4 linked regions of the Styela clava genome follow. The protein of the gene in region 3 purifies or fractionates together with the protein of the main gene of each other region. This does not show direct contact. Links are inferred from orthologs where the notes say so. Each region holds a gene or a part of one and is shown on either strand. Other genes may lie near its edges. The genes, in order: iron-sulfur cluster co-chaperone protein HscB-like; succinate dehydrogenase [ubiquinone] flavoprotein subunit, mitochondrial-like; succinate--CoA ligase [GDP-forming] subunit beta, mitochondrial-like; succinate--CoA ligase [ADP/GDP-forming] subunit alpha, mitochondrial-like.

The links.
Region 1: the proteins of succinate--CoA ligase [GDP-forming] subunit beta, mitochondrial-like (region 3) and iron-sulfur cluster co-chaperone protein HscB-like purify together in Homo sapiens (affinity purification with mass spectrometry; 3 studies listed by BioGRID and IntAct, with this or other methods). This does not show direct contact. The link is inferred for Styela clava from reciprocal best matches to the Homo sapiens genes SUCLG2 and HSCB.
Region 2: the proteins of succinate--CoA ligase [GDP-forming] subunit beta, mitochondrial-like (region 3) and succinate dehydrogenase [ubiquinone] flavoprotein subunit, mitochondrial-like fractionate together in Homo sapiens (co-fractionation; 3 studies listed by BioGRID, with this or other methods). This does not show direct contact. The link is inferred for Styela clava from reciprocal best matches to the Homo sapiens genes SUCLG2 and SDHA.
Region 4: the proteins of succinate--CoA ligase [GDP-forming] subunit beta, mitochondrial-like (region 3) and succinate--CoA ligase [ADP/GDP-forming] subunit alpha, mitochondrial-like fractionate together in Homo sapiens (co-fractionation; 6 studies listed by BioGRID and IntAct, counting the BioPlex papers as one, with this or other methods). This does not show direct contact. The link is inferred for Styela clava from reciprocal best matches to the Homo sapiens genes SUCLG2 and SUCLG1.

What each region holds. Positions count from the first base shown.
Region 1 is NC_135253.1:534,742-542,128, reverse strand, and holds the start of iron-sulfur cluster co-chaperone protein HscB-like, read right to left. Parts: upstream 3,438-7,387; 5' UTR 2,903-3,437; coding exon 2,791-2,902; intron 2,729-2,790; coding exon 2,563-2,728; intron 2,160-2,562; coding exon 2,009-2,159; intron 1,726-2,008; coding exon 1,584-1,725; intron 432-1,583; coding exon 358-431; intron 1-357.
Region 2 is NC_135261.1:7,416,329-7,423,669, reverse strand, and holds the start of succinate dehydrogenase [ubiquinone] flavoprotein subunit, mitochondrial-like, read right to left. Parts: upstream 3,178-7,341; 5' UTR 3,076-3,177; coding exon 3,016-3,075; intron 2,191-3,015; coding exon 1,939-2,190; intron 1,627-1,938; coding exon 1,571-1,626; intron 1-1,570. UniProt on the Homo sapiens protein: Flavoprotein (FP) subunit of succinate dehydrogenase (SDH) that is involved in complex II of the mitochondrial electron transport chain and is responsible for transferring electrons from succinate to ubiquinone (coenzyme Q).
Region 3 is NC_135251.1:16,269,002-16,276,603, reverse strand, and holds the start of succinate--CoA ligase [GDP-forming] subunit beta, mitochondrial-like, read right to left. Parts: upstream 3,248-7,602; 5' UTR 3,184-3,247; coding exon 3,112-3,183; intron 1-3,111. Other genes in the region: glycine cleavage system H protein-like, read right to left, coding at 3,433-3,942; alpha-ketoglutarate-dependent dioxygenase alkB homolog 4-like, read right to left, coding at 5,284-6,192. UniProt on the Homo sapiens protein: GTP-specific succinyl-CoA synthetase functions in the citric acid cycle (TCA), coupling the hydrolysis of succinyl-CoA to the synthesis of GTP and thus represents the only step of substrate-level phosphorylation in the TCA.
Region 4 is NC_135257.1:15,449,148-15,457,322, reverse strand, and holds succinate--CoA ligase [ADP/GDP-forming] subunit alpha, mitochondrial-like, read right to left. Parts: upstream 3,332-8,175; 5' UTR 3,300-3,331; coding exon 3,134-3,299; intron 2,648-3,133; coding exon 2,364-2,647; intron 1,633-2,363; coding exon 1,437-1,632; intron 1,342-1,436; coding exon 1,190-1,341; intron 866-1,189; coding exon 638-865; 3' UTR 449-637; downstream 1-448. UniProt on the Homo sapiens protein: Succinyl-CoA synthetase functions in the citric acid cycle (TCA), coupling the hydrolysis of succinyl-CoA to the synthesis of either ATP or GTP and thus represents the only step of substrate-level phosphorylation in the TCA.

The sequences.
Region 1 (7,387 bases), on a different chromosome or scaffold from region 3:
TTTAAACACAAAGCAGTCATCAAATAAAGTGATTTTAGTTTATTCAGGGACATTTATCGGTAAATAACAATGTTTTTATTTTCATAAATTTATTGTGGGGCTGTGTAAATAATAGTCAGCCTCCTAACACCAAAAGTTTGAGAACTCCTTTCCTAGGGTGCTATGGTGAAACAGTTGAAAACCACTGATCTGGAGCCTAAAGAAAATGAAAATCAGATGTCCTTGTTGTAAATGAAGGGCGATAATAACCAGGCAGCACTCATATAAAATATGCTGCTTATAACTGCTGATTCGTGCTGGTTCCACTTAGTAGCCGCAGTGCAATTAGATAAATCCATTGTGTTAAAATCTTCTCACCTGTTCATTTAGTTCCATGATTTCCATCAAAAATTCAGGATTGCTAAGTTGAGTTTCTTCATCAATAGTAATGCCTGAACAAATGAATAAAAAACAAGAAATAAATCCAGAGGCTCATCTACAGCACATCACAAAACATTTGATATCTCCGCAAACAGGAGGTTCATACAAAATAGGCCACTGTGAGTTTTGGACAAGTTATGCGAATGGATACTAACTTGATCAAAAATATCCTGAAACATGTCAATAAACTGTCAAATCGTAGTCAATAATGGGTTAAATTTCACAAGTTTTATAATAAATCAGTGGGTCCAACCACTTGAAACATCCAACATTTTTTTAAAGGTACAACAAAGGTGTGCTAAATTAGTGAGCTTATTTTGACTCCACAATAGGTGTTACATGACTGCGAAAGAAAAAATCAAATCAAATCATGCACTTCCTCACACAAGTCCAAAACTGTATTAATTTAAAATAACTCTAATAACATTAACCAATTTGTCATGTCGTAACAGGTATCACTGGTTAATTAGGACTATTGCACAGGTGCACCATAAAATAGGCTACTGTATAGAAATTGTCTATTGCTAATAAAAAAATATATCTTAGGCAGTGTGTATTTGTATATAGCAGTGAAGTACAGTAATTGCTTCTGAAGTTTTTTTATTCCAATTTTCCTTATTTTAGTTCAATTACGTGTTCTGGCGGCGACTAGCCAAGTGACTCCTGTAGTATTTGTACCTGAAATTATGGCTCAACCCTAACCTGGTACACATACTATGTTCCAATGTTCGCCATCTTGGTACGCATACTTCATGAGTGCCGCAGTGGGTAATATTTATGAGAAGTTGTATGAAAAAAAATAACGTAATTTGAATCAGGCAAGAAAACATTTTCTTTCATTTCTTCTGCATTATGAATGAATTTAAAAAAATGTCGATAAGATCAGGTGGAGCCAAAATGAAATAAATTACTCATCTGAAAACGACACACAAATAATCAGAGGTTACTAAATAAAGCTGTGATAAAAGTAATTAGTTAAAGAAGAAGCCATATATCCTGGGTGCCAATGGGCTTGGAATTTTCACATGCGCTCTGAGAAAAAGATTTATTTCAATGATAAGCATGTGGACATTAGGTTGACGTCTCCTTACTTGCAAAACACTTTCAACTGTCACAATAACAGTGTTTAATTTATGCTCTTGCTTTATATTCTCTTTCCTTACCTCTCTGTTTAAGCATATAAACTCCTCTCGATAACGGGTCCAGCAGAGTTTTATATGCAACATTTAAAAGTGAAGATATTTGAGCGGAGAGATCTTTCTCCCTCGCACCTTGTAATGAATATTTGTCTGGATGAAAAACACGCTAAAACACAAACATTTTGGCAAATTGACATAAAAAATACTTGTTATATTTGCATGATCTCGGAAACCAGTGGAAAATCTAGATATGGACACATCAGTAAACATGCCGATACAAAAAATCATGAAACATAATACAATAATAGGCAACAAATACAGCCACTAGCAACCACTACGTCATAATAAAAATTGAAATCTGTTCATATCAGACCAAAAACAGGAGGCAAAATATCCATTGCAGATTCAGAACTCTGAAAATGGTAAACATAAAACTTATGGCTGCTTACTTGCATGTCTTTAAAATCTTTCTGAAGTTTCAAAGTTGAAATATCAAATTTTTCATCCATGTTGAATATTTCAAAAAATGTAAGAAATGTAGGTGGGAGAATAATTTTACAATGATTGCAAATAAATTTAAATCTTGAAGTTATTGGTCTCCTGAAACAAAATAATTTAATTCAATATTAAATTTTGAATAGACTCAATTAGGCCCTAAATCAAAATAAAATTATTTATACCAACAAATTACTTGAATTAACCCTTATTATGTCAATGTCAAAGTTTCTTCGCCAGAATGGCTGCTCAATGAATTATCTTCAAGTTTGGTTTTACCCTTTACAGTAGGCTAACATTCAATACAGCACCATATACAGATATAGCATGTGGCATTCAGGACCTGAGATGTTCAGGAGGGGTTAATAACTGGTTTCTGTGCATATATTTCTGTGATTGATTCATATGAGTGTTTATAGTATAGGCCTACATAGTCCAGCAGCTAGAAAAAATTTAAAAGTATTCGATGCTGAAATACGAAGTGAAAAATTGAAACTGTTACACTTACCCGCATTTCCAACATATTACTTCGTTTTCGTCAAAACTTCCATCAGATGAAGTGGAGAATCTATGGGAACCTCTGAATGAATATTGTCTTTCAAGAAGAGTAATATAGCTTTTTCTACCATTTCTCAAGATGAATGTTTTGTTACGTGTCGAAAACAAGATATTCACTGAAAAACAGGCACATTTGAAACACTTTTTCAGAAAGCAGTCTAATAAATTGTACTCATACCCACGCTTCTCCCAGGACCAAATAGCAGTTTGCATCCTCGATTGATTGTTTCAACATTCACTCCACCAACCATTCCGATAAGGGTGAACAGTCTTGTAATTCGTGGATTCATTGCTGTGAAGTGGACAACTACCGGTACTAACCAGGTGTTTAGACACCTTGCTGCAGCTACAGGCGTAACTGTCACGGGATAAAATTTGACCGCGGAAATTTATCATGGACTCCGTAATATTATTGCAGTACGGACCTTTCCCCGAGCATCGACTTCCTTGTTTACTTCGTGACATTGGCCAATCAGCAAATTGCAAAAAGTGATGTAACAATGCTCCTTTTCGCATCCGCTCAGACACTTTTCTCACTCAGACAGATTTTTAAGCGTGGTCGTAAACATTATCTCGTTTTCGCATTTTTGAACTCTATTCGTTAGTTTTCAGTTGTGTTTTGTAAAATTAAATGTAAATCAAATAATTTAATGGTCACCCCGTCTTCCTGGTGGTTTTAATTTAATTGCAGTAATAAAAATTAGTGTAGAAATAGCTGTGATAGACTAGGCTAAAATTCTTTAACGGTACTTTTAAAAAACAGATTGTTGTATGCCATGAATCATAATGATAGTTTGAAACATATACCTCATTTCACAGGCGCCAACTCGCAAAAGCACTCTTAAAATAGCCCCGAAAAATTTTGCAATGGTAAAGTATAGGAAGAATTTTTCGGGGGTCAAAGGTCGGGGAAAGGTCCATTATTGTGTCATTCTTGAAATCCATACATAACCTTTGACCTGTTGCGATTTGATGCAAAAAGAGGTGACGACTGCGATTTCCTGCTCTGGACAGAGACAATGCAAAAAATCTATGCTCTGAACGCCGACGCGATTAAGTCTGACTTGCAATGTTTCTTATGATTACTGAGACGTCACGGTGTTTCGTAGCGGGAACTAAAAGATACTATTTGAAAAAACAAAATGTATGGACCTTTCCCCGACCTTTGACCCCCGAAAAATTCTTCCCATACTTTACCATTGCAAAATTTTCGGGCTATTCTAAGAGTGCTTTTGCGAGTTTGCGCTTGTAAAATGGGGTATGTGATTCAAACCATCATTATGATTCATCGCATACAACAATCTGTGTTTTAAAAGTAACGTAGAGAATTTTAGCCTAGTCTATCACAGCTATTTCTACACTGATTTTTTATTACTGCAATTAAATTAAAACTCCTGGAAAGACAGAGTGATCATTGAATTATCCGACTTATATTTACGTTTCCTAAACACAACTGAAAACTAACAAATAGAGTTCAAAAACGCGAAAACGAGGTAATGTTTACGACCACGCTTAAAAATCTGTCTGAGTGAGAAAAGTGTCTGAGCGGATGCAAAAAGGGAGCATTGTTACGTCACTTTTTTGCATCTTGCTGATTGGCCAATGTCACGAAGTAAACAAGGTAGTCGATGCTCGGGGAAAAGTCCATTCTGAGCGGTATGTTAGTCGTTGATTCTGAGGCATTATGTCATTTGAGTAAAATAACGTGTCGAAAATAGAAGGGATGGTTGCTTATGAATACAATACAGCAGGCCGATGGTAGCAGCTCAAAAAGAATGCCAAAGTGAAGGAAAGTCATCCTATTTACTTCTGCAAAAGTTATAAGGTAAAATTGGTTATAGCTGTGATCATTGATAATGGAAGACTTATGTTGTAAAAGTAGGCTATATCACATTTTTTCAGATGTTCACGATTTGAATACCGATAATTACAGCAGAACCCCTCCATGCTCGAGCTCATACAACAGTCATCATAGTTGCTGTATAATTAAAAGGAGGGAAGGATTTACATATTTATCCCGAGGAGAGAAAAGCCGATAAAACGGCTCAATCATATGGCGGACCACGGCATGTACATGGATCATTTGGTTGAAATACAAACCACCGTTCTGTAGATAAATTGTATCTGAATGATGGGAACTTGGCCACCCCTGGTGTGAAGATAGACATTTTGCAAGTCATCCATTTTCCATGGTTGATTTGGGACTGGAAGGCAGATTAAAAATGCTACTCCTCAAAATGTACACTTCCACGTCGCCTAATATTAAGCATTCACAGCAATGACCTGAAGATTCAAATGGAGTCTGGACGCTATGACTATATGATTGTGAATGTAACTGCATGTCGTCTTGCGCATAGATTTTGTCCACCTGACCTGGATGCATATTCCCATCACCCACTTGTAGTAGTAGTATATATTTACGGTAGTACTCATTACATAGTAATTGCAAAAAATATAAAAGAAGATTGATAATACTTTTTAATATATTAATAAGCTATATTTACTTGTGCTAAATAGTAGAAATGATCATACACAATAATACTACAAGTTAATTTTTCCTCGATCTCATAGTCACGCTCAAGTCAATTGAGCAGATCAGTTTTTCAAAAAAATATACCAACATAAATATTTACAATCTGTGGGTGAGATATAATTTGTTAAAAATATGCATAAATACAAGAACACAATACAGTAATAGTAGTTTTTCCTCTGTTACTAATTATATTTTGGCTGTCTCCAAGGTTCCAGGCAAGAGTAGATAATTGAAAGGTTGCTAGCTAATAATTCAGTATTTCCTAGAGGTTTTACTGGATTGGTTACGGTTCATTCATTTACAACATTTGTAAGAGCTTCTTTGACATCACAAACTTCTTGTTCAAACAATTCTATTAGAAACACGGCAGGGAAATGCTAGTACAGAAGTCTGTAATTGTCAACTTGATATACCTTACAGTAGTCTGATCAAACAAACCCCTTTACTGTCCCAGTATGTACCCCGCAGAAGTTTTTTAAGATATTCTTCAGTAATTGGCTTGGTATTTCAATCAGTGTACAACAACTGTGGTGATTAGGTGGTAAGAGCTCAAGCATGAAAGTCTTCTCCAGCTGCAAGTGTTCAAATTGTGAATATCTGTAAACAGAAAGTGATATACCTACTCTGTAATTGTTTGTGAGCACAGTTTTTATCTAGCATAACGGTAGTCTGGTAGTGTTTTTGGGCCTACTTGTAAACAATGAAGAAAACTCATCGAATCTTACCTTATAACTGTATAACTTAAAAAACGAATACTCTTGTTGTATCATCCTTTATGAGCTACATGTATCAATATTATACAAGTTATTGATCTCATGGCATCTCAGACTGGATTCAGTAGCAAGTGCACGCCCGAGAGCGCTAGCGCTCCGCATAAATGCACGCGAGCGAATTCAGTTTTGCACGCCGAAAATTTGCAATTACTCACCAATGAAAATCGATTTAAAGGGTTTTTAAATCAATAATCCAGTAATATAAAGATGCAAACAAATTGCAGCTCCATAATTATTGACTACATACTAGCTTGCAAGCTTGATTGAAAACAGCGACCCAAAAAAAACCATATTTCATAATTGCTTGGCGGTATTGGTATGGCGCATCGTGTTCAATGATATCCCGTGATAATAGTTATAGGCGAAAAGATCGCCAGACTCCTTGACGACGCTGGTCAGTTACAGCTCTGATTCAGCATAGTTATTATTCAATAATTTTACGCGGATGTAGTGGTACTGAACAGTAACGGTATCTAAAGCCGCACAAACACTCTCAAATAATGACAAAGTATAGAAATAATGTTTGGGGTCAACGGTTAAACGTTCATTTTGCTCTAATTCGACGTATTTTTGAACATGTCAGTGAACATAACGATCGCTTCAATATTATGTTGTTGTTGTTCTTGTTCTTTGACACGTTTTTTAAAGAGTCCCTTTTATTTTTAATTACTAGACCAATTGCTTTGAAATTTTTAAGAATAGTTAAAGATTCGTTTTTTATGTGTCAGAATAAAACATAGCGACACCTTGTGACGTGTGAATAATGTTTGGGGATCAAACGTCAATTTTGCTTTGATTTAACGTATTTTTCACCCAATAATTTAACGTAAAAACAATCGCAAAATTAATGACAAAGTATAGAGGACTTGCACGGGTCACGTGACTTTGTTTACCGGACGGCAAAAAAACAAAAACGTTCAGCTGGATCCTGTCAGTTGCAAGTCGGATTATACGTTTCCGTTTTGTTTGGCTGTTGAAAATGGGTATTTTGTATTGTTCAGTTGGCTGTACGTATAGTATAGACTATAGAGTATAGACAACAAAATGTATCTTCAGTTATATGCCACGGTTTTCAAAAGATCCGGAACGTCGCGCAATGTGAATATCATCTATTGGCAGGACTGCTTGGTGTCAAGTCCAGAAGTCATCTCGCTTGTGTTTCACTGTTTGTGGACAGCACTTCGTTGATGGTGAGTGTAATGTGTCGTTATCAATTTCTTTAAATACTCCTAAGCTTCCTCATTTCAATGGAAAGCAGATGACAAACTACTGTTATTGGTAGGCATAGGCCTACTTGCAGACTTGAGGCTTGTGTAAGGAATTGGCATAAGGTATTGTTTCCCTAGTTAGCAGGCAAACGGCCCATTATCACTCACCATCAACGAAGTGCTGTCCGCAAACAGTGAAACATAAGCGAGATGACTTTTGGACTTGACACCAAGCAGTCCTGCCAATAGAATAGATGATAT
Region 2 (7,341 bases), on a different chromosome or scaffold from region 3:
TTGAGCAGATGGGCTTAGAATTTCAATGTGGTTAAATTCCATGAATTCGTACAAAGCTTCATGAACCATCTCAAACATAAGAAAAGTAGTTTACTATATTGTGCAGGTTACGAACAAATACAGGTCATGCAATTAGCATGGCACACTTTACATAATTCAAATCACTGGCAAGAATGCAATAAGATGAGGACATGAAAAAATTGAAAAAAAGTATTATTATTACAGGTATAGGCCTAGCAGAGCAAGCGAGTGCTGAGGCCACATCATTTGGATGCAATCACAGCAGACTGGTAAGGTGACAGCAAGAATTTTTTATATTTTGTTTTGAAAGTTTCATAAGAAGAGTCACGTAAGATTTGGGGAATACTATTCCAAATTACAACACCCTTATACTTCAAGGAGTTTAGGGACTTGCTTAGCGAAAATCTGGGAACAAAAAAATTCGATTTTGTCGAAGAGCGTGTGTTATGCTCATGCACATTACTGAGAACAGTGAAATAATCAGCGAAAGCTGCAGGCAATTGGTTGTTGTGGAACTGGTGCATAATCTTAGAAATTTCTAATTTATAGATGTCAGACAATTTTAGCACCCTGGCTTTATGATATAGGGTGTTTATGTTTGAACGAACTGGTGCTCCGGAGAGAATTTTAACAGCCCTATTTTGTAAAATCTCTAATTTACGCAAGCTAGTTTGAGTAGCGGAGCCCCATGCAGCTAAGGCGTATTGGATATGTGATTGAAAAAGAGCAAAGTAAATAGTCCGCAGAGTTGGGCTCGGCACATAATACTTGAGTTTTCCCAGAATCCCTACTGATCTGGAGAGTTTCTTGTACATTTCAGTGATGTGGCTGTTCCATTTGAGTTGATGGTCAATATGAAGCCCAAGATATCTATAAGACTGGACGATTTCTAGTGGAATACCATTAATTTTAATTGAAAGACTTGAATTTCTAGTCCGGCTTTTAGGGCTGAATAACATGACTTTGGATTTTTCCACATTTACAGTGAGTTTATTGCATATCATCCACTCATATACTTTATTAATTCCAGTGTTCACTTTGGCTTGGAGTGTGATCAAATCCTTCGCACTATCGAGAAGGCAGGCATCATCGGCAAACAATTTTGTCAGGAAATTAGAGCTGTTCGATAAATCGTTTATAAAAAGTAAGAAACCAATGTTACTTTCAGAATCTTGTTGAAACATAATTCCTAATGAGAGCTAGTAGCCACTTGACTTCCAACTTCAATATCAAAAAGTCAGAACAGAGTCAGAAAACTTGAAATCAACTCCAGACTGACAAAGATTTGACTAGAACTACTACTATCACAAAATTTACACTATTATCACAGTTGAAAGTATGAAATTCCAAGTCTGGGGACAAAATTTTTGACTTTGACTCCAGAACATGGGCAGTTTTTAAATATAACATCAGGTCCAACTCCATGGCAAACTTGGATTCCTGGTTTCAGACCTAATAAGAGCTTTCCCCATCAAAAATCTCAATAATTTATCCCTACATGTATCTCAAAATGGTTAAAAATAAAAGATGAAGAATGAATAAGTCTCACATGTGCCATTTCCAATTATCTTCTTCCATGTTACCAAGAGCTGCATTTATGCCACCCTGTCAGAAAGAATAACAAGATTCGTTATTGATATGATACAATCACTAGTAAAACAAATACACTGGAACCAGGGTAAGAACTAAGGGACACGAACCTCCGAACTACATGAAATATCACATCTTGATAACAGAAGTTCAGAATGTACAGGTTCTCTACACTGTTAATAAGAACGCTTAATAATATTAGTGCTTTTTGAGTTCCAGTGGTTAGTTTTGAAATACTTTAGCAACATAGAGAGTCTGCAATTCCGATTACGCGAAAAACATGTCGAACCTGGTAGAAACCAAAAAAATGGAAAAAAGGACTCAAACCTGAGCAGCCACTGTGTGAGATCGCGTTGGGAATAGTTTCGTGACGCAAGCTGTTTTGAAGCCAGCTTCTGAAAGTCCAAAAGCAGCTCGAAGACCAGCGCCCCCCGCTCCAACAACAACAGCATCGTATGTGTGGTCTATGACTGGATACTCATTCGACATCTGATCTCGTTTAACAAGTGTATTTGTCTTGCTTGAAGTGTGGAACTGATTATCTAATCCAGTCGTAATGCATGGTAGTACATTCAGACCCTTGAAAAATTAAACATTTTGGGTGAATAAATCATCTTATATACATATTTAACTTATACTTTATACATATAAGTTTATTCAATTATAAAATTTTCCGTAGTAGGCATGATGACCTAGTGTTCAAAGGGCTGGACATTAAATTGACATCACAAGTTAAAAATCTCAGGTTTGAATCCCATTCCCACAAAGTCACCCAGAGTGTGATGAATTAGTAGGCGTTGTCAAACTGGAAAGACCAATTGTGAAATATAGTAGCTTTACCTAGCAGACGTTGCTTGGGGTATAGTATAGTACCACAAGTACTTCCGGTGAGCGTAGCATAACAAATTTCGCATTTGTTATTCCCGACCCCCACCTGACTATGCCATCCAAAAGATATGTCACTACGACATCACAATCACACAACCATCCATGCATTTTGGAGGTCTTTATTACGCCACTATGATGTCGTAGTAGTGTAATTTTTTGGTGACGTAGTCAGGTGGGGGTTAGGAATGACATATGCAAAAATTGTTGAGCCAGGCCAACTAGAAATGCGTGTGGTACTAAACTATACCAGACTCGTTGATTGTCCAGAGCCATTATCGGAGTGATAGGGCGTATAAATATATCATAAAAATAAACAAGCTGACTGTTAGTGGTAAAAATATACTGAAAAATTAATAGTGTGATGCCTAATTGTCATAATAAATTCTGCATTTCTCAATTTGTAATATTAAAAGCTATCAAATCATTTGAAATTCTAGATATCTGAATATTAAAATTAGTGGCAGTACAATTTAAAAACTTCATATTTGAATGGAATTGAACATTTTCAATACTTACTGTCGATCTTGTTAAACCCACAGCAGTCTTTGATGTTATTCTTAACAGTGACGATGCCATAATTTTGGCGGAACTGATAAATGTTAGTCTATACAAAATATGATCTGTGAAGAGCAGATTAAAAGAAGGCCTGAGACTTTGACATTTAATCTCTACTCTTTCATGTTTACCCGTATTGAGGGAGGCGGACGAATCGACTGCACGGACAACTCATCAGAGATAGCCTATAAAAGACATCATCAGCAAAAAACAAAGTCGAACCCAAAGATTGAAACCTTGTCGTGATGAGTTGACCTACACCTGATGTCAGTCGGCACTAACGCCAGTCGATAAGCAAGTACATTACCGTACGCAGTTACGTGAGTTGTCTGTCTCTCGAGCATCGATGTCCAACTTCAAAGTCCCCCTTGCCTCATCCTTCCTGTTAACCCTGTCCCGATTTCCCCTGTCTAAAACAGATTGCTGAGATAATATGGTGAACGGATCATTTTTCCATGTCGCCAACTACCTACTGTCCATTTGAAAAAGCTTGAAAATCCATACAAATATAAGAGATAAAAAGATGAAACTTGGCAGGTGGGTAGAGTTCTGTTTCTTTTAACCATCTTTGAAGTTTCGCGTTTCTACATTTAAAGGAGGGGGAATAGGGGGGTGCGCATTTCCAATACGTCGATAATAGCATTGTCAGATTGTCGACCAATTTGCGACCACCGTGTTTTTGTTTGTTTGATTGCTGTAATGCGGTGCTTTGTTTAAAATTTGACGAGTTTTGTTCGAAATAACCTTGTTCTTAAAATATATGACAGTCAGATATGCAATTAGAAGCTAATTTTTTTGACGCATGGCTGCGTATGCCCTAGTCTCGACGCAGCAGAAATGATGTTCAAGGCTTGAAATCCGTGGTCGCACACTGGTCGTTCGATCGCAAATAGGCCTTCAGAGTGTCGTACTATGGTGGTTTGTATAGCTTTAACACCTGGTCGTAGAAAGTTAATTCGAGGTTTAGAGTGTAGAAGAAATACCCATGCACCTATGGTGAAAAAATTAACAGGTTATAAATATTGGTTTTTGTTTTATAGCGGTTTGAATGAAATCGTCTGCAGACTGGCTACACTACCCTACTTCTAGTTAGCCTGACTCAAGCATATGTCAATCCTAACCCCCATCTGATTATGTCGCCAGAAAAATACGTCATTTAAACGTCACAGTGGTGTAATAAGGCCCACCAAAGTATACGGATGGTCGTCCAAAACGCCCAGAAGATCACCCAAGCTATTTCTCTCGTTTTCTCGTCACAACGATCGCCATAGGAGAGGGATCGCCGGCGTTAGGGAGTTCGTTATCGGCGGCGCAGATGCCATTTCGGACGATCGTATTATACTTAAGCAACCCCCATGACAGTATGACGTGATGGTGACGTAATTTGGGTCTCGTGTAGTTTTGTACCTAACGTACTTCTAGTGGGCGTAGCATAACAATTTTTTGACATGTCAATCCTAACCCCCACCTGACTACATCATCCAAAAATTACGTCACGATCACGTTATAGAACTTGCCAAATACACGTACGATCGCCCGAAATGACATCGGCGCCGACGATAAAGAACTAACTAACGTCAGCGATCCTATCGGGATCGTTGCGACGAGAAATATAGCTGTTCGATTTCAGGTTCTCGTCTGCGCGTCTTGGGTGACAGTTTGTATAGTTTGAAGGGCTTTATTATGTCACTGTGACGTCGTAGCGACGTAATTTTTGGATGGGGTAGTCAGGTAGGATTGATAGGTGAAGGATAGGTAGGATGTTAGGATTGATAGGTGAAAAAATTGTTATGCTACGCCCTCTAGAAGTACGTTAGGTACGAAACTACACGAGACCCCACTCAAACAATAAAAACATCCTATTGACCAATATTAGAATATCCAAACCCGTCATACACCATAAAATCAAAAATAAACACTCTTGGTACCGGTACCCTTCTCAAGAACTAACATTAATTAACCAGACACAAGATAAACCTAAAACACTAAATATCCAACTAAAACAACCACAACTGTACTGCTGCAAACCACAGCTTAGGCTGATGGGACACCAGAGGACAGATGGACAACACTAAAAGGCTGAAGGAAGAAACGGATGAGGTGGAGGGAAAACGGAAGTTGAAGTGTTCCCAAAGGTGAAAATTGAAAAACACTAAAAAGCTGAACACTAAAAGTAAGAAGTGGATGAAATTTCTTCCGACGGGTAGTTAGGTGGCTGAAGTCACTGAAAAGCTGAACACTGAAAAGAAGAGATGGAGGAAATTTTTTCCGACGAATAATGAGGTGGTTGAAGTCACTAAAAAGCTGAACACTAAAAGGAAGAAGTGGATGAAATTTCTTCCGACAAATAATGAGGTGGTTGAAGTCACTAAAAAGCTGAACACTAAAAGGAAGAAGTGGATGAAATTTTTTCCGACGAATAATGAGGTGGTTGAAGCCACTAAAAAGCTGAACACAAAAAGGAAGAAGTGGATGAAATTTCTTAAGAAGTGGATGAAATTTTTTCCGACGAATAATGAGGTAGTTGAAGTCTCTAAAAAGCTGAACACTAAAAGGAAGAAGTGGATGAAATTTTTTCCGACGAATAATGAGGTGGTTGAAGCCACTAAAAAGCTGAACACAAAAAGGAAGAAGTGGATGAAATTTCTTAAGAAGTGGATGAAATTTTTTCCGACGAATAATGAGGTGGTCGAAGTCACTAAAAAGCTGAACACTAAAAGGAAGAAGTGGATGAAATTTATTCCGACGAATAATGAGGTGGTCGAAGTCACTGAAAAGATGAACACTAAAAGGAAGAAGGGGATGAAATTTCTTCCGACGAATAATGAGGCGGTTGAAATCACTGAAAAGCTGAACACTAAAAGGAAAAAATAGATGAAATTTCTTGCGACGAATAATGAGGTGGTTGAAGTCACTAGAAAGCTGAACACTAAAAGGGAGAAGTGGATAAAAAAATTTCCGACGAATAATGAGGTGGTTGAAGTCACTAAAAACTGTATACTAAAAGGAAGAAGTGAATGAAGTTTCTTCCGACGAATAATACGGTGTTTGAAGTCACTAAAAAGATGAACAGTAAAAGGAAGAAGTGGATGAAATTTCTTCCGACGAATAATGAGGTGTTTGAAGTCACTAAAAAGCTGAACAGTAAAAGGAAGAAGTGGATGAAATTTCTTCCGACGGATAGTGAGGATGAGGAATACTTGAAAATTTAATATATTAGGAATTGGGTAATTTAATGTTTGTTTTGTTCGTATTTATGTGACAATGTCCTCGTGGATTCGTTTTTTGTTAATTTTTTATATGTTATGCTCAGTTCAAGCCTGGCGAATATTGAAGGCAATGACATTCTCGTTATATTTTTTTTAATTTTGATGTAATGTGCAAACAAATTACTATATATATATATATATATATATATATATATATTCATATCTAGCATTTCCTGCCGTATAATGGGTATGTTGCGCCACAATGGGTGGTTACGGCGAGGCATGTTTTGAAATAGATGTCTTGTTTTTCAAGACGCGTGAAGCTGATTTTGTTATCAAATCAATTTTTCCAATCAACAAACCTTGTAATTTATAATATGTTTGTGGCCCCCCTCAAAATGCCTCTGAGGCTTACCAGTGGCCCATGGCCCATTGGTTGAGAACCAGTGGTCTAACAGGACTTCGATTTGACTAATACATCATTATTCAAAGCCTTCGTGCGTGAACTGCTTGCAAAATTTATAAAAACAGATATTAAGTTCAAAGAATGAAATACGGGATCAAAAATTAATTATATTCGGGCACAATACCACGGCAATCTATGTACATAGATGTGTGGTTTACTGCGCGATTATTATTAATTTTTGATACCTATTTTCGTATTTACAAAATACAACGGCGATCCATGGCGGCGACGTTCTGGACATGCTGCGTATAAAAAATATTCGGTATTGGACTATTCGGTATTTGTTAAAAATATTCGAATTATTTGATTCGAAAAAAATATTCGATTTTGCCCACCCTTTTCTTGGCCGCCATAGGAGTATAAAAAACACGAAAAATTGAGAGTCACCGAGAAAGAGCTGCGTGTTTGTCTCTCTCAATTTAATTCCAGCCAGAATAAAATATTGAAACTTATCGAAACAGGCCCAAATATTACATTAAAATACCATTTCTGTTCCTAGCTCTGAATCGGAATATGTGTAACGTCTTTTCCAGCTGAAGTTGACAAGCTATTATTAATTTCGTTAATTTATTTTATTCCGAAATGATCGATGTCAGTTAATTGCATAATATA
Region 3 (7,602 bases):
TGTGAGTAACTGAGTAGCCAGGGTTGTCCAAAACGAATCGAATATTCGAATGTATTCGAATATCAAAGTATTCGAATACCTTTTCGGCTGATTTTCGAATAATTCCGAATAGTTGTCACTTTTCGCCGTAAACGTGGTGTTTCGTTTTACGGGAATCTTTAAACGACTTTTTACGCTGTTTCACGTAATGACGATGAAATAGAATCGGCACTTTGTTTATATTCTTTGCGACAGTACGTCGCATAGTGTTGTGAAACATTTGCACGTGGACATTGCCGACATTCGTGTACGAGGCTTTTAATTTACAAATTCATTTCCATTACGTCGAAAAATTGAGAAAGTATGTTTATTTTATTTCTATGTGGCCTAATTATTATTCGCATGAGTCTTCTCAAGCATGATTTGTGTAACCTTATATTTGGGTCCTAGGGTCTGCCAATCATGATATTTATTCGCAGGCCGGTTATAGTTACTTTAAAGAGAAACACGGCCACCGCGATAAAGTGATTTGTGACCCTTTCGTTTTGCTGATTCAGAAAAACAGGACAGGGACAGGAAAACACAGCTGTGAAATAACCTGTGGACGTACAGTGTAGTACTTATCATCACATTCCAAAATTATTTCAACATTCGGGTTAATAGGTTGTCCAAAATGATTGTCGCTTTACAACTTAAATTTACCGCTCAATTGTTAAAAATAGTTAATTCTGTGAGTATGATTCTACCAAACTAACATGATCTGGTTCTGAACATATAAAATTATTATCGAATTTTTCGACCCGTCTTATTGGAGGCCTATATGGAAAAAAACCTTCTTTGAGTGCTAAAAATAGACATCGTCCTATTTGCCATGTGCACTTATTAGCCGGGAAATACGGTATTTATAGCCGTCATTGTTACGATATCCAATAAATTGTCACAAGTTGGAAAAACAAGTCGATTTATTAGAAAATAATTTCTGGCAAATAATTCTGATAACGATAGTTAAAAGTATTCATCCTTTACCAGGATGATTTTTTGTTGCGCAAAATAATCCAATCCATGACTGGTACCAGCATTTAAAATGTCATGCCGTATTAATTTAATTCTGTTCAACGTAACTCATGGTTGTATCGACAATCTGTGGACATAAAATGTGTAGTAAACTGACCGATATTATTAAATATTGATTCCTATTTTTATATTGATAAAATAATGAAAGTATTAATGCCAAATACAACGGGTATTTGTGGACATGGAATAGGTGGTAAACTACCCAATTATAATTAATTTCAGATTCGTGTTTTCAAAATAATAAAACTAATAATTTTAAAATGCAACGGCGATCTGTGGCCTTCAAATATGTGGTAAACTGCCCGATTTACCAACATTTGAGTTATGATAATAGAATTAAATTAACACGGTAAGGCATTTTAAGTAGTGGTATCGGTCATGGATTCGAATATTTTGCGCAGCACAAAATCATCCTAGTAAAAAGTCCATACTTTTAAATACAAACCAATGGGAACCATTATCCAAATTAGTTCCCAAGAGCGGAATAAAATATAAACTTGTGACAATTTTTCGTGAGTACTAAAATAAGAATTAAAACTAATTATATTCGGCACAATATCACGACAATCTGTGGACATAAATTGTGTGGCAAACTCGCGATTAATATTAATTTTTGATTCCTATTTTCGTATTTACAAAATACAACGGCGATCTGTGGACTTACAATGTGTGGTAAACTACCCGATTATAAATAGTTTTTGATTCCTATTTTCATATTTATAAAATATTAAAAGTATTATTACTCAAACATACAACGGCGATCTGCGGACTTAAAATGTGTGGTAAAGTTCCCGAATATAATTAATTTTTGATTCGTATTTTTGTACTCACGAAAAAATTGTCACAAGCCGGAAAAATACCTCATACTTTATCCCGCTTTTCGACAAATAATTTGGTTATGGTTGGTATTTAAAAGTATGGGCATTTTAAGAGGATGATTTTGTGTTGCGCAAATATTCAAATCCATCATCGATACCACTATTGTCGTATTAATTTATTTCTGTTAACATGACTCATGGTATATAAAATATATACTGCAATAATCTGCAAATATGATATGCCTGGTAATATAGCTAGGTTGTAACTTGTAGATAGCAGTTATTCCATTGCTTATTGTATGGAAATTCCTACATACATTTAGATAAGCTTCAATTGGTGGATTTTATTTTCGAAGTATTCGAAATTTCATATTCGAAAAAAATAATTTCGAATGTATTCGAAATAGTGAACTATTCGGTATTGGCCATCCCTGCGAGTACACTATCGAAAATAATAACTTGCATTTTTAATTGTAACATTACAATACTACACTATACATGTATATTTACTAAGTTTTTTTAACAGTAAAATATTTGTTATGTTAAGATTAATAATTGTATAAGTTGATTAGAAAAGAAATTTGTATATTTGCTTTGATAAATTTAACCAATTCTGAGATAAAACAATGTTCAATTTGGCCCACGCTACATTCCATACAGTTCAATTTGATTGCTCCACAGAGTATATAAAATAAATCTTTGGAAAAAAGAATGTTACACCTATGTAAATGAAGCCAAGATAAATTACTGGCTGTAATTCAATGGCAAACATGTAATATAGCTATCTTTTTGTATAATTCAGTTTATTCGGTGGGTTAGTTAGAACTAGTAAATTAGAATCTGAATGCTTCATTATTAATTATAATTATGACAACTCAACAAAATTTGGCACAGCACCAAGAACACTCTTCTAAATTAGCCAAAATCAGCTTAAACTTTCAAACTAAAAATTTAAGGACTTACTTAAAATATTATGAAATAATAATGGTTATATTAAATTTACACAAATATGCTGAGCATGATCTAAGGAAGAGTAATACAGGCTTTCTGGTCCAAAAAGTGGGTGTGTCTGATTCCGGACATTCGATTCGAGCACCAGGGTGAAATAAATTGGGTAGGAAATGTTAGACCAGAAAGTTTTCAATCTTTCAAATAATTGTAGCTCACTTCATATCATTTATTCTACAAGGCATTGTTCGTAGCCAGATGCATGGATAAGCGTCGTAAAAAAGTATCTCACCTGGGAATTCACTCGAGTAAAAACTTGTCCGCATCTGGTGGCTCGTTTCAGAGCATGTCTGAGAGAAGACATTGTAAAAATAACTACTCAGTATAAACTATTTACACGGTAATTATTGGATGAGATCTAAAGCAAGAAATGTAAAATGCAATAAAAGTCTCAATATTTGGAACAACAAACATGTATGTGATGATCTACTTTATTAATTCATTGATCTTTAATAATTAATATGTCGGACGAAATCGAAAAAGCCCACTTGTTAGTCCAGCAAGGTCTAAGGTCAAGAACGCCATAGACATGTACAAACAATTTATATATTTGTTATTCAGTTAGAAAACGTTTATATTCATCTTCATTCAACAGATCCTTCAATTCATCATTATCCAAGACCTCCATTTTCAAAATCCACCCTTCTCCCCTTGCAGATTCGTTAATCAATTGTGGTTCATCCTCCAGCTTCTTATTTACTTCAACAACTTTGCCGGATACCGGAGAATATAGATCACTAGCCGCCTTGACGCTCTCAATTACAGCCATCTCATCGCCTTTGGAAAATTCAGTTTCGATAGCAGGAAGCTCACAATAAACCAGATCACCAAGTTGATCTTGAGCATGTTCTGTGATACCAATGGTTCCTATACCATCTTTCACATCTATCCATTCATGTTCTTTGGTGAAATATGTCGTAAGACTTCTGGATGAAATGTGTAAAGAGCGTTTGACAAATCCTACTGAAGTGGATGTCAATGGCTGATTGAATTTCCTCTGCAATATGTTTTTACTCACAATCAGAACTCGCTTTGATAAACCAATTCTAACCAATCTTTCCATAATTTCAAAGCAAGCATAAAAATCTGTGCCAGGGGGCACCGGCTAATGGACTAAAATTAATTACACTTTTGCTATAAAATGTTTGAAAATAGTCTCTTTTATTAATAATTATGCAATGAAAAGTATATAGCATACCCTCACATTATCAAAAACAAGACATTTCTGGATGGGATTTCTATATTATCAAAGAGAAGAGGAAAGCTAATAAGACAGCTCAATCATATAGCAAACCATGGCCTCTCATCCAATTACCAGTCCATCCATGTATGGAAATAGCAATAGGTACCCAATTATTAATTACCTATGAATGAACTTAATGGTGGTTATTCTTAAGCACAATATACATCATACACTTGTTCATATTAAACATCACTTAAAATAATCTGCAGTGGTTATCTGTTTATATTAAAACAGACTAAGGTCGTTACCGAAAACGCCAACAACATATTTGGACAAAAAAAAACGAGCATGTAAATTGTAACATATGTAAAATTTGGGAATAATGTTAAATTATTTTAAAGAATCAAACAAGTGCTATGAACAAAATATTGGAAATAAATTTACTTTCACATTTGAAACAAAAAATATAAGAAAAAATCAACAAAATTTGGTGTGAGACTACAAGACTCAGGTCAATGCAATTGTCTTCTAGGAAACAACTTTGGCTATTTCGAATTTGTAACAGATTGGTATAATAATGGGAAAAATCTGGTATTTATCATGACAAACAACATTTTATGAAAACAATACATGGATTTACTTTGAGTCCTAAAACTGATGCAAGACGGAACAATATTTGACACATTAATACAACAAATAATAAGGTATTCAGTTTTGAATTCATGTCTTTTAATACTGTTCATAACATCTGGAATTACACAATTCATGATGACATTCATCCAATAAGTGAGATTTGATTTAAAGCGTTTGGGATTTGAGACACAGAATGCAAAAAAATATAACACAGCATCTCTTTCAAAACAAACAAGGGCAGAACATAGTGATTTACTCTTTCAAACATTTTATGAAAATTTATTGCCTATTAAATAAATAACAAGCTCGCCAGCCTGTTGAATGTAGACAGGTACATAGGCCTACAAATGTGCAAAAATTAGTATTACCCTAGGCACGGAGGATCAGGTCAAACAAAGCATGTTTAAAATCGCAGAAGTGTGAAGATCTAACAAGAAAGAACAGTCGAAGTTATCGAAATTACTGTCATTCAACTTTTATAATACCTGGTGGAATATTTTCCTTTTAATAAAATTTTCAATTTTTATCGTTTTGACAAACACAATTTGTAAATACATTTAAATGCATACCTGAGAAGAATATCAATAGTTATAAAACAACATTTCCAGAAAAAGTATTAGCTATTTTTAATAAATTACAGCCTTGATTTCTTTGATTCCCATTTAAAAATTCAAATGAAAGTTCTCTAAATGTACAACAAACCCGGCGATTTTTTATATCTTCCCTTAAAATACCATGTTTCCATGAGTGTCGAGCAGGTCCGTGTAATACAACAAGAGACCTTGCACGAAGTGGTATCTTAACTTTTATATCAGTTGGATCGATCATACCAATACAAGGGAGATTTTTCCAGTTGATAGAACTTCCCCCCCAAGTCATTGTCAACCATGAGTCAGATAGCAAATTCAAAGTTACAAGTCTTTCACCCCATAACCAGCTATCATCAAAATGAGGGTCAATTGCCGAACCTCTTTCAGGAGAGTATTCAAGATTACAGAGTTCAACTGTCTTAAAGTCATTCAAGCCATTGATTGAAGATAATCTATCCACAGCAAACTTACAATAAGAGGGCAGTCCAGAAAACGAAGCAATTTTACATTTCTGTTTTTTAAAATTAACTTTTGGACCAAAGTCTTGTTTTCTTCTACCGGATTGCGACAGTTTCCATATTTCACCATCTATGGCATTCACCAATGCAATTTCCTCGGAATGAGATATGAAGTCATTAATGACAATCACACCAGGAAATTCGAAAAAATGTGGAAGTTCGTTAATTTCATTTTGGGTGATTGTCGTCAGTTCTGCACTTTTGGTGGCATGATTATAATAATAATGTTTACATTCTCTCTGATTTTGTGAAAGAGTTTCAGATTTATGAATCATTTCACATTTGAGGCAAGTTCTTATGCCTACACAAGCACATTCTTCGTTTTTGTTTTCTTCCATTTTCGAATTTCTGTAATTGGCATGATATCTCCTGAGCTCAGTATACAACATCCATTTGATGTACTTCTACACTAATACAATTTATTTCGACAATCTGAATACACAACACTCAATGAAACAAACAAATCATATAACAGGAATGCCTATAAAGCCAAGAAAAAATGAGTGGCACTTTTCACCGTGATCGAGTGAAAGAATGAATGTTCAAAAAGAACAGAACAATTTCAAAGAGTCTCTATAAGTGATAATCCTATACTATACTATTAGGTACTACTACATGAGGACTGTAGGGGTAATAACTGCTACAATCTCAAGCTACTGACCCAGCGATAAAAAAGAAATACAGCAATGTAATAATGAGAAACGTAGATCTTAACCCTCTGTCTCTATTATTTTTAAATTTACTCTATTATTATTATTTTATGTACCGATCCCCACGACTGAAAATTCAGAAAAATATTTGTACGATTGCCGTAAATAATGCAGTTAAAAATTCCGCTTATACTTTTCGCGTTTCTGACCTTGCGTGAAACGTGTCGCACGACTTGCAGAGGCCAGCGCACAGGCAAGATGACCGTTCTTGACAGCGAAACAGCGTTTATTAGCATAGCAACTTAGATAAGATTTCATTTCGATATATTCGCAAAAAACAAAAACATATACCGGTATACACGAAAGATTAAGACGAAGAATTTGGAAAGTGAACAAAACCTAATAAAATAAGTTTAAAACGTATTAAACGCGTTCACTCACCGAAGAAGGAAGAAAACAAGTCACAAACACAAACAAATAAACATGAATATTCACGGCCGTCATTACTCAGGCGTTTCACTTTGTAATCAGGTTGTGTGCAATTTTTTCAAAAACAAAACTAAATGCCCGCTGTGCGTGTTATGCGGCATGTAAACAAACAATCCGAAAAATCCTAGAATGAAGTACGAATGCATGTTTCCGTTCCATGCTCAAAAATTACTTTACTGAGTAATCGCGTATATCGTTGAAACATATTAAATATATACTGTATTGTTTCATTCCGGCTGGACAGGGACAATATCGCAACATTTATGAATTTGATCTACTCGAAACCAACAACTTTGACCGTGTGGTAAACAATACGCACTTCTCTGTACCTGGGCGTCTTTTCTTCCATCGATAAAACCGGCGGTGAACGCATAAAACTTGATAAATATGGTAATATTTTCCCATTTACAGATTTATCCAGAGGAGAGCCATATTGCGAACCCCCTTTTCCTCATCCGGTAAAACAAAATTCGCCGTTCGACTATTAGAAAAAATTGTTTATTTTACCTGCCTAACCTAGTACATTTTTGTGAATTAATCTTATTTATCTGCGTTATTTTATCAACCAATGCATCTTTGCTCTATTCATGTCAATATTTCGTTGCCGGTCCATCAGTAGACTACATTTTTTTAATGTTACCTGTTCGCGGTGTAGAAAGG
Region 4 (8,175 bases), on a different chromosome or scaffold from region 3:
GAGAATATTACTCTATTCGGTACTCCCGTAGTATGCGCACCAGTTTAGGCCATAATTTTCTTTCGATTTCTTCATTTAGTTATATTACGAGTTCGTGGACTGTCTGTGTTAGCCAAGTGAATATACCCCCTGTCCATAGGTTTCAGTCCCTTTACACAACTTGTAAAATAGGCGAACAAAATTAGTTACCTTCATATCGGTACACATACTTCTGGAGCACCCTCTACTCAATAGAGTACGGCAAGCGAAATACAGGAATTTCAGTACCTTCGGTATCCACATCACAATTTAACATTTTCTCAAGCTTACCGGTGTTCATCTTAATGGACCAAACTTTTGCGATCCTTTTGAGACCTCCGCTGATGTGGGCTACCAGGTAAATCTGCTATTTTTTACTCAAGTGTTCCCACTACAACTTTGTCCATAAAAAGGTAAACAGCCACGATAACCAAGTTGAGAGAAACTATATTCGAAAATCCTTGAGGGCTTAATAATCACTTTTGGAATAAATTACACAGAAAGAAATATATTTAATTTGTCACAAACTCACCACCAAGACAGGCTCAACCTTGGGATAAACGAGGTTATAAACAATTTATTAAACACATGACCTGGTTGAACGTTAAGCATGTATGGTTTATGAAGAAGATTTTCTTCCATAAAATTTGGTGTATTCTTCAATCATGGCAGTCCCCATTTGCGCAGGCGACATAGTTACGTTTACTCCAGCATCCCTGAGAGCAGCAATTTTTCCTTCTGCTCCCCCTTTACCACCTGATATGATGGCACCAGCATGTCCCATTCTTCTTCCTGGTGGAGCAGTTACCCCAGCGATGAAGGAAACAACAGGCTTACTATTTCTTCCCTGTGAACCAAGAAATAAAAGTCTGGCATAATATATCTAATACAAGATAACAATGCTCGGATATATATGGACACGGAGGTCCAATAACGAACCGTGGTACCATGAGCCTATGTGATTCACACTAAAATTCAGTTGAGCACAGAATTTGCAAAATCAAAATGGAAGGCAGGTGTGAATTTCATGATCGACAGAGTTTTCATGATTTAAAATAAAACGGAAAAGTTTCGGGTACAATATCGGATCTCAGGAAATCCCAGAGAAAATATTGAAAATAAAATAAAAAGCAGGCGCCATCACAAACATATGCTAATAATGATAACTAACCATATTATTTTCAATAAGATATTGTGCAGCTCTTTCTTCAGCACCGCCACCAATTTCTCCAATCAAAAGAATGCCCTCAGTCAAAGGATCATTTAAGAACACTTCCAGGCAATCAACAAAATTAGTACCATTAAAAGGATCTCCACCAATTCCTAGGGAAATATAAAATTATGAAAATTGAATAATACAAAAATTGTGTGCCTAAATAAGATGCAACCCAACATTTGCTATTTAATTAGTAACTCACCAACACATAATGTTTGTCCCAAGCCAACCAGTGTAGTTTGGTGCACTGCCTCGTAAGTTAATGTGCCCGACCTTGATACGATACCAATCTTTCCTGGTTTATGTATGTGTCCAGGCATGATTCCTATTTTGCAATCACCAGGCCTGATAATTCCTGGACAATTTGGACCTATGAGTCTTGTTTTACTTTGTCTCACCTGAAAGAAATAAAAATGTCTGAAATAAAACGAATCAATTTCTGAGGGATTTTGTGAAGCTTTGAGCGCCTCATTATTTACAGAGTGTCCGATTTACAAGCATTTAATTTATTGTTCGATGTTAAAAAATGGGTACTCCTGTAGAAAGTGTAGTGTGTGTACCAGCTTAAGGTTAGGCAATAATTTTTTTCCCATTTTTCTTATTTTAGTTCTATTACGAGTTCGGGGACTGTCTGTGTTAACCAAGTGAATATCCCCCTGCCCATAGGTTTCAGCCCCTTTGCACAACTTGAAGTAAGATAGGCGAACAAAATTAGTTACCTTCATATTGGTACACATACTTCTGGAGCGCCGAAAAATGTACCATAGCAAACTTGCCCGATACCAGTAATTAATGAATCCAATTGATTTCTACTTAATTTTGCGGGCATTGAAGTGGCAATAGTCTACGGTTTAGCATGAGTGCATATGCATAAGTACACAACATTGAATGCTTGCGTTGTAGCCCTGGTTAGCTGAGAAATAGTGGTGAGATAAATTTGCATCAAATATGATGGTAACTTAAAACAAAACCAGGTAGAACTCTATACTTAGCTGATAATTTACAGCCATGCCAGATGCAATACTAACCTTATACCCGGTTATTTAGCAAATTATTGTACAATGAAATATCCGATCGTATAGATAATAGTATGAGCATAAATTTTTGTAATCGCCAAATGAAGACGTACCAACTTGTGCTTCACACGAACCATGTCCTGTTGAGGAATACCTTCAGTGATACAAACAACTAATGGCACTTGCGCATCAATAGCTTCTATTATGGCTTCGGCAGCAAAAGGGGGCGGCACATAGATCACAGATGCCTCAGCCCCTGTCTCTTTCACAGCATCCTTCACTGATGCAAACACTGGAAGGCCAAGATGAGTTGTTCCTGCCTTGCTTGGTGACACGCCACCAACCATCTTGGTCCCATATGCAATCGCTTGTTGGCTGTGGAAGGTTCCTTGTTTGCCTAAAACGACAAGTCATATTACTGGTTTAAAAAATTTAAGAGATTGATACTATTCCATATTTCTACGAACAAAAATTATGTGAATATGAGGTGAAATTAATAAAACATTGTAGTACTTGCACAGCAGACAAAATGAGATACAGCAAATAATATTTACATATTGTGTAACCTATGCCAGGGATACTCAACTGGCGGACCGCGGTCCGGATCCGGACCTTTCGAGTATTGGATTCGGACTGCACCTAATTCTTTATTTTGGATCATTAGCCCCACTTTTTAAGTTTTCTTCTATAAAATGCCTTTTATGGTTTGAATATATATGAAAAAAAACTAAAATACCATAATAAACAATCTTGGGCTGTAAACTCAATTTACCTTAAAATCAATCTGAAAAATACAAATTGGAATGTGCTTGTGTACAATGGGTCACTCAATCAATCCAAATAATCAATTTCATTAGTTGTTAAAACAGATAATGAAACTTACCAGTAAAACCTTGACAGATAACTCTTGTACTCCTCTGGATAGCCATGTTCTTTCTTGTAGCATCATAAACAATAGAGCTTTCAGATCTCTTCGGAAGTACGAATCTTGTTTGTGGTAAAAGTCGTCTTGATAAAGCCACGAGCTGATGCGACATTGTGGATGCCATGGTATGTAAGCCACGTACCTAACCTAATGATAACTGAAAAAAGTTTGACAAATATCGTACTGAAGGCGGCAAGGTACGAGATAAAAGTCGTCTTGATAAAGCCACGAGCTGATGCGACATTGTGGATGCCATGGTATGTAAGCCACGTACCTAACCTAATGATAACTGAAAAAAGTTTGACAAATATCGTACTGCAGTACTGAAGGCGGCAAGGTACGGTACCTTACCGGTATCTAATTCTGTATCTAAATATGCCGAAGCCTGAAAGCATTAAGGCCTAAATAGCTATGGTCTTCCACAATACTATCCATGTTTCAACTGCGGCTTCCCGTCCGCGTCCCCAGTAGCCCACTAAAATTGCAAATATTATTTTCTCACTATCTGTGTATGATTTTTTTTACTGGTTGGAAAAAATAAACTTGACTTAGCTCACAGACTCAGTAAAAACCCTTGAACTGTACAACCTTCTATCAGTCTATTGCACAAAATTCTTCCAATACTGCAATAGTTTGCATGGTTTACAGATTCTATACCGGTACGGTACCGGTACCATTCTGCTGTTTCAGTGTTTCACGGCGAGTTAGCCGTCAGCCGTTGTACGGTACGGTGCGGTAATAAAAACTGATTATGAAATCAGGAGAGTGAACAAAACCTTGGACAAGGTTTAAAACGTACAAGATAGAAGGTATTGCCAAAAAGAAGTGGTACGTGTTCACTCACCTAAAACTGCAACTGCATCTTTGCGTTATGTCAAATCTGCAAGTGTATTTTAATCTCAGAATCTAGTGTCAAGCAACCACTCCAGTAAATCCTCAGTCGCCTTTCCTCAATGTATTTTATACCGTACAATGTACATTTAACATCACATCTTACACTTACAAGTCTGCCACAGTACGGTAACAGTCGGCTGAAACACAAGTGCTTCATAAACTGGCAAAACGGCCATTTCAGATTATTCTGCAAGGTCACACGCACACCACGGGAGTAGAGCCACTTGCGAACATATAACAGAATTAGGTGCAAAAATATGATTTTAATAGTTTACTGAGTTAACTATGGTTTCATTATACAGTATGTTGGAGCGCTGCTAGCCTGGGTCACCTGCCAGACTACTACGATTGCGACCCAGCCATAAGTCTGCGACTACACGTAGAGTATTTTCTATTAATGGCCAGGAAACCTCCGATCCTGTCAAAATAGCAGATCATTTTAACTCGCACTTTTCTACAATTGGAAATAAAATGATCGAACGGTTTACTTATACTAGAAAGAACGACTTTAAGCAATATATGGGACATCCCAGTAAAACCTCCATGTTCCTTGCCCCGACAACAGCTTTCGAAGTCCAAAATATTCTGAAACCTTTTCGACCCAAAACCAGTTGCGGAATAGATGGAATTCCCTTTAAAGTTATACGAATGATGCCCTGGTATTGTATTTGTGCTCTCACGCATATCTTTAATTGCTCCATACAATCTGGTAAATACATAGACCAGTTCAAATTATCTAAAGTTATTCCATTGTTCAAAAAAGGAAATGCAAAGGATGTAAAAAACTACCGACCGATCAGCTTACTTTCTGCATTTTCCAAAATTCTAGAAAAAATTATGTACAAGAGACTCAATCATTTCCTAGACCAAAAAAATTTCTTTTAATCCCAGCAATTTGGCTTTCGCCAAAATCACTCAACATGCCATGCAACATCTCTACTTGTCAGTAAAATTTTAGAAGGATTTGAAAAGAACGAGTATACTCTTAGTATGTTCTTGTACCTTTCCAAGGCATTTAATAGTATTGACCATGACATATTACTAGCCAAATTGCACCATAATGGTGTTAGAGGTTAGAGTTATAATTGGTTTGAAAGCTACTTATCAGGAAGGAAACAAGTAGTAATATACAATGACGTAGCATCTAGCCCATACTGTAATTTGACTGTAGGCACCTTACAAGGTTCTATTTTGGCTCCATTATGTTTTTCAATCATTATTAACGACTTTCCAAATTCTCTTCATCACTCTGATATCATACTTTTTGCTGATGACTCAACGCCATATCTTCGAGGCAAAGACTTGCCTGAACTTTTGACCAAAGCAAATACTGACTTGGAAAATATTCAAGCTTGGTTGTCTGCGAACAAACTCACTATTAATTTGGAAAAACCTAAATATATGGTATTTAGCGCGCCAAAGCAAAAGTGTCTAACACCGCAACAAAATCTGGAATTGAATGGAATAAATATAGAAAGAGTTAACCAGACGCGCTTTTTGCGTGTAATAATTGATGACAAATTGTGTTGGAAACAGCACACAAACCTGATTCTATCTAAAACAAGGTCTAGGTGCTATTACGAAAATAGCCAACAATTTAAATACATCCTGTTTAATATCCCTATACCACTCACTAATAGAAAGCCATATTCGATATTGCGCTTCAGCTTATGTTCATCGCCAAACGTCCATTATCAAAAAAATTCGAAGTGTATGCAACCGTTTTATTAGAAAAGTTTTCAATAGAGGAAATCGAGAAAAAGTTGATGACTTATTTAAAGAGTACCCAGATAGCACAACTACGTCGGAACAACCATGGCCGAACGTTGTTCGAACCACCGGCCCGATAATGGCGAACAACCATGTTCCAGCGAAGATTTGGCCGCTGGGCCAACGTCGGTCCTTTCGCTGTAATGCAACCGTGGCAAACGGTCGGGCCAACGTAGGCGATACGTTGTAACACAATCGTGACATATGGCCGGGCCTACGTAGGTGACACGTTGTAATACAATCGTGGCATATGGTCGGGCCAAGTTAGGCGATGTGTTGTACAGACAGTGAATGGATCTATACTACATAGAAATTTCCCACTAATCCAACATTATTTATATAATAAAAAACAAAAGATAACAAAATGTCTTTATTTTACAAATATGTATACATGTAATAAAATTAATCGGAGTTCGTTGCCAGATCATCCAGAGCTGGAAAATATAAAAATTCTGTGTTAAATTGCAGTATTAGCAAATTACAGCACCAGAGTTCAAAGCCTAGTCTGAATGACTGCATCCCAACAAATTTTCAGAGTAGGAATCTTAAGCCAAGTTTCTGCAGTCGCAAATGTGTGAGTGAAGCTTACATTGACAAGACAATAATAATCGAGAAATACAGAAGTTCTTGATTCCGCATAATGATGATTTGAGATTTTATCTGACTAAAATGTCTTCAAATATTCCTTGTTGAAATTCATCTATCGTATTAGAAACATCATGCACCATGATTAGTCTATTTGTTTAATTGATTTATAATAAATTTATTTGTAACTTCATCATTTGCTGTTGTGCTAGGGGGGGATGATAATGTAAAAAGTACTGTAAGGGAGCGATGATACAAATAAGTTCGAAAACCACTGTTCGCCATTATGCACTAAACTCTGGCAACATTGGATTGGCAATTTGGCACTTGACTCTAACCATAATCAGCTTGGCGATATCTCCTTAATAAATATTTTTCTATACTGTTCACTTTTGTATACAAAATCTACATTCAATTTCTTTACTGTTCACAGTTGTTTACAAAATCATTATTTAATTTGACAATCATCTACCCAACTTATCTAAATTTTCTCGCCTGTTTTTATTTTATTATATCTCTGTTGTTGTTGTGTGTGTGTAACTTAATTTAATTCATGAACACGATAGACATCTTTTTGGCAAAACCTTATATTCTTTACGCTTCTATCTTAATTAAGGTTTTGTTTTCACTCCAGATTGTCAGATTCTATTTAATCAATTTTTGTTCATTTCCCTTATGAATTATCTTAAGCTGATTTGGAGTCAAAATAATCTTATACTTATAAAATAGAAGAGGGTAGAGCAGAGAAATATGGTGGTACAATATGATAAACATATTACATACCTTCAATAGCAGAAACTAATGGCGTCCCACTCACTCCTTCTTATCCACCGCGTCCTGCACAGTTAAAAGAGCGGGAGAGTAAATTTGTTATAACTGAGCTCATGATTCTCCAATCCAGTCTTTCTTGGAGCAACCTCCGAGACTTGACAAATATCTTATCTGGAATGAGTAAATAAGCACAATTATAAGAATACATCTAATGAAAAGGTTTCCATCCGTTGCAAAAGCTCTATGTTAATTATCGTGAGTATCTACTCTAAAATATACACATATGTGTTTTGTCCACATCCCATTCTTATAAAAGTGAACAATTTTAATATTGCGATCGGATCGTATTTAGACATTTAAATAATTTTCCTTGAACACGAAGCGAAAATATGGGGCATATTGTATTTCATACATAAATTCGAAGCGCTTCATGCAGTCAAAAACAAAACGACAAAAAATAAAAGGCACTCAATAAGATGAGACCCAGCAAAGGTATTTTCACCTATAATTTTACTTTCATGTTCTGTTTAGCTTTCGAATTAATTATGGAGTAATCTGCAATATTTTAACATTGTACTGAAACTAAACAAATATTCTGAATCTCAGAGATTTTTACATCGTGGTCTTCATACGATGGCATGTGTTACCGATCAGCGAACTCTTTTAAATTAATTTTGCTTGCCCGCTGGGGTAAAAAAGGTTGGGAACCACTGAACTAAACAGTTAAGTGCAACCAGGTTACACCAACGCCCCACAAACTTACAGTCGATTTTCATCAGAATGATTAATTAGAATAAATTGATTTTTAATGTTTTCTCGTTGTGGGGTCTGTGTAGTCTGTAGTCTGTGATTTTACAAAAATTGGGGTCGCAGAAAAAAAATTTGGGAACCACCGCCGTAAAGTGTATGTAATCAGCCTATAAAAGTATTCAACTTACGAGCCATTTTTTCATCCTTGAATGTATTCTGGATCAAAATGT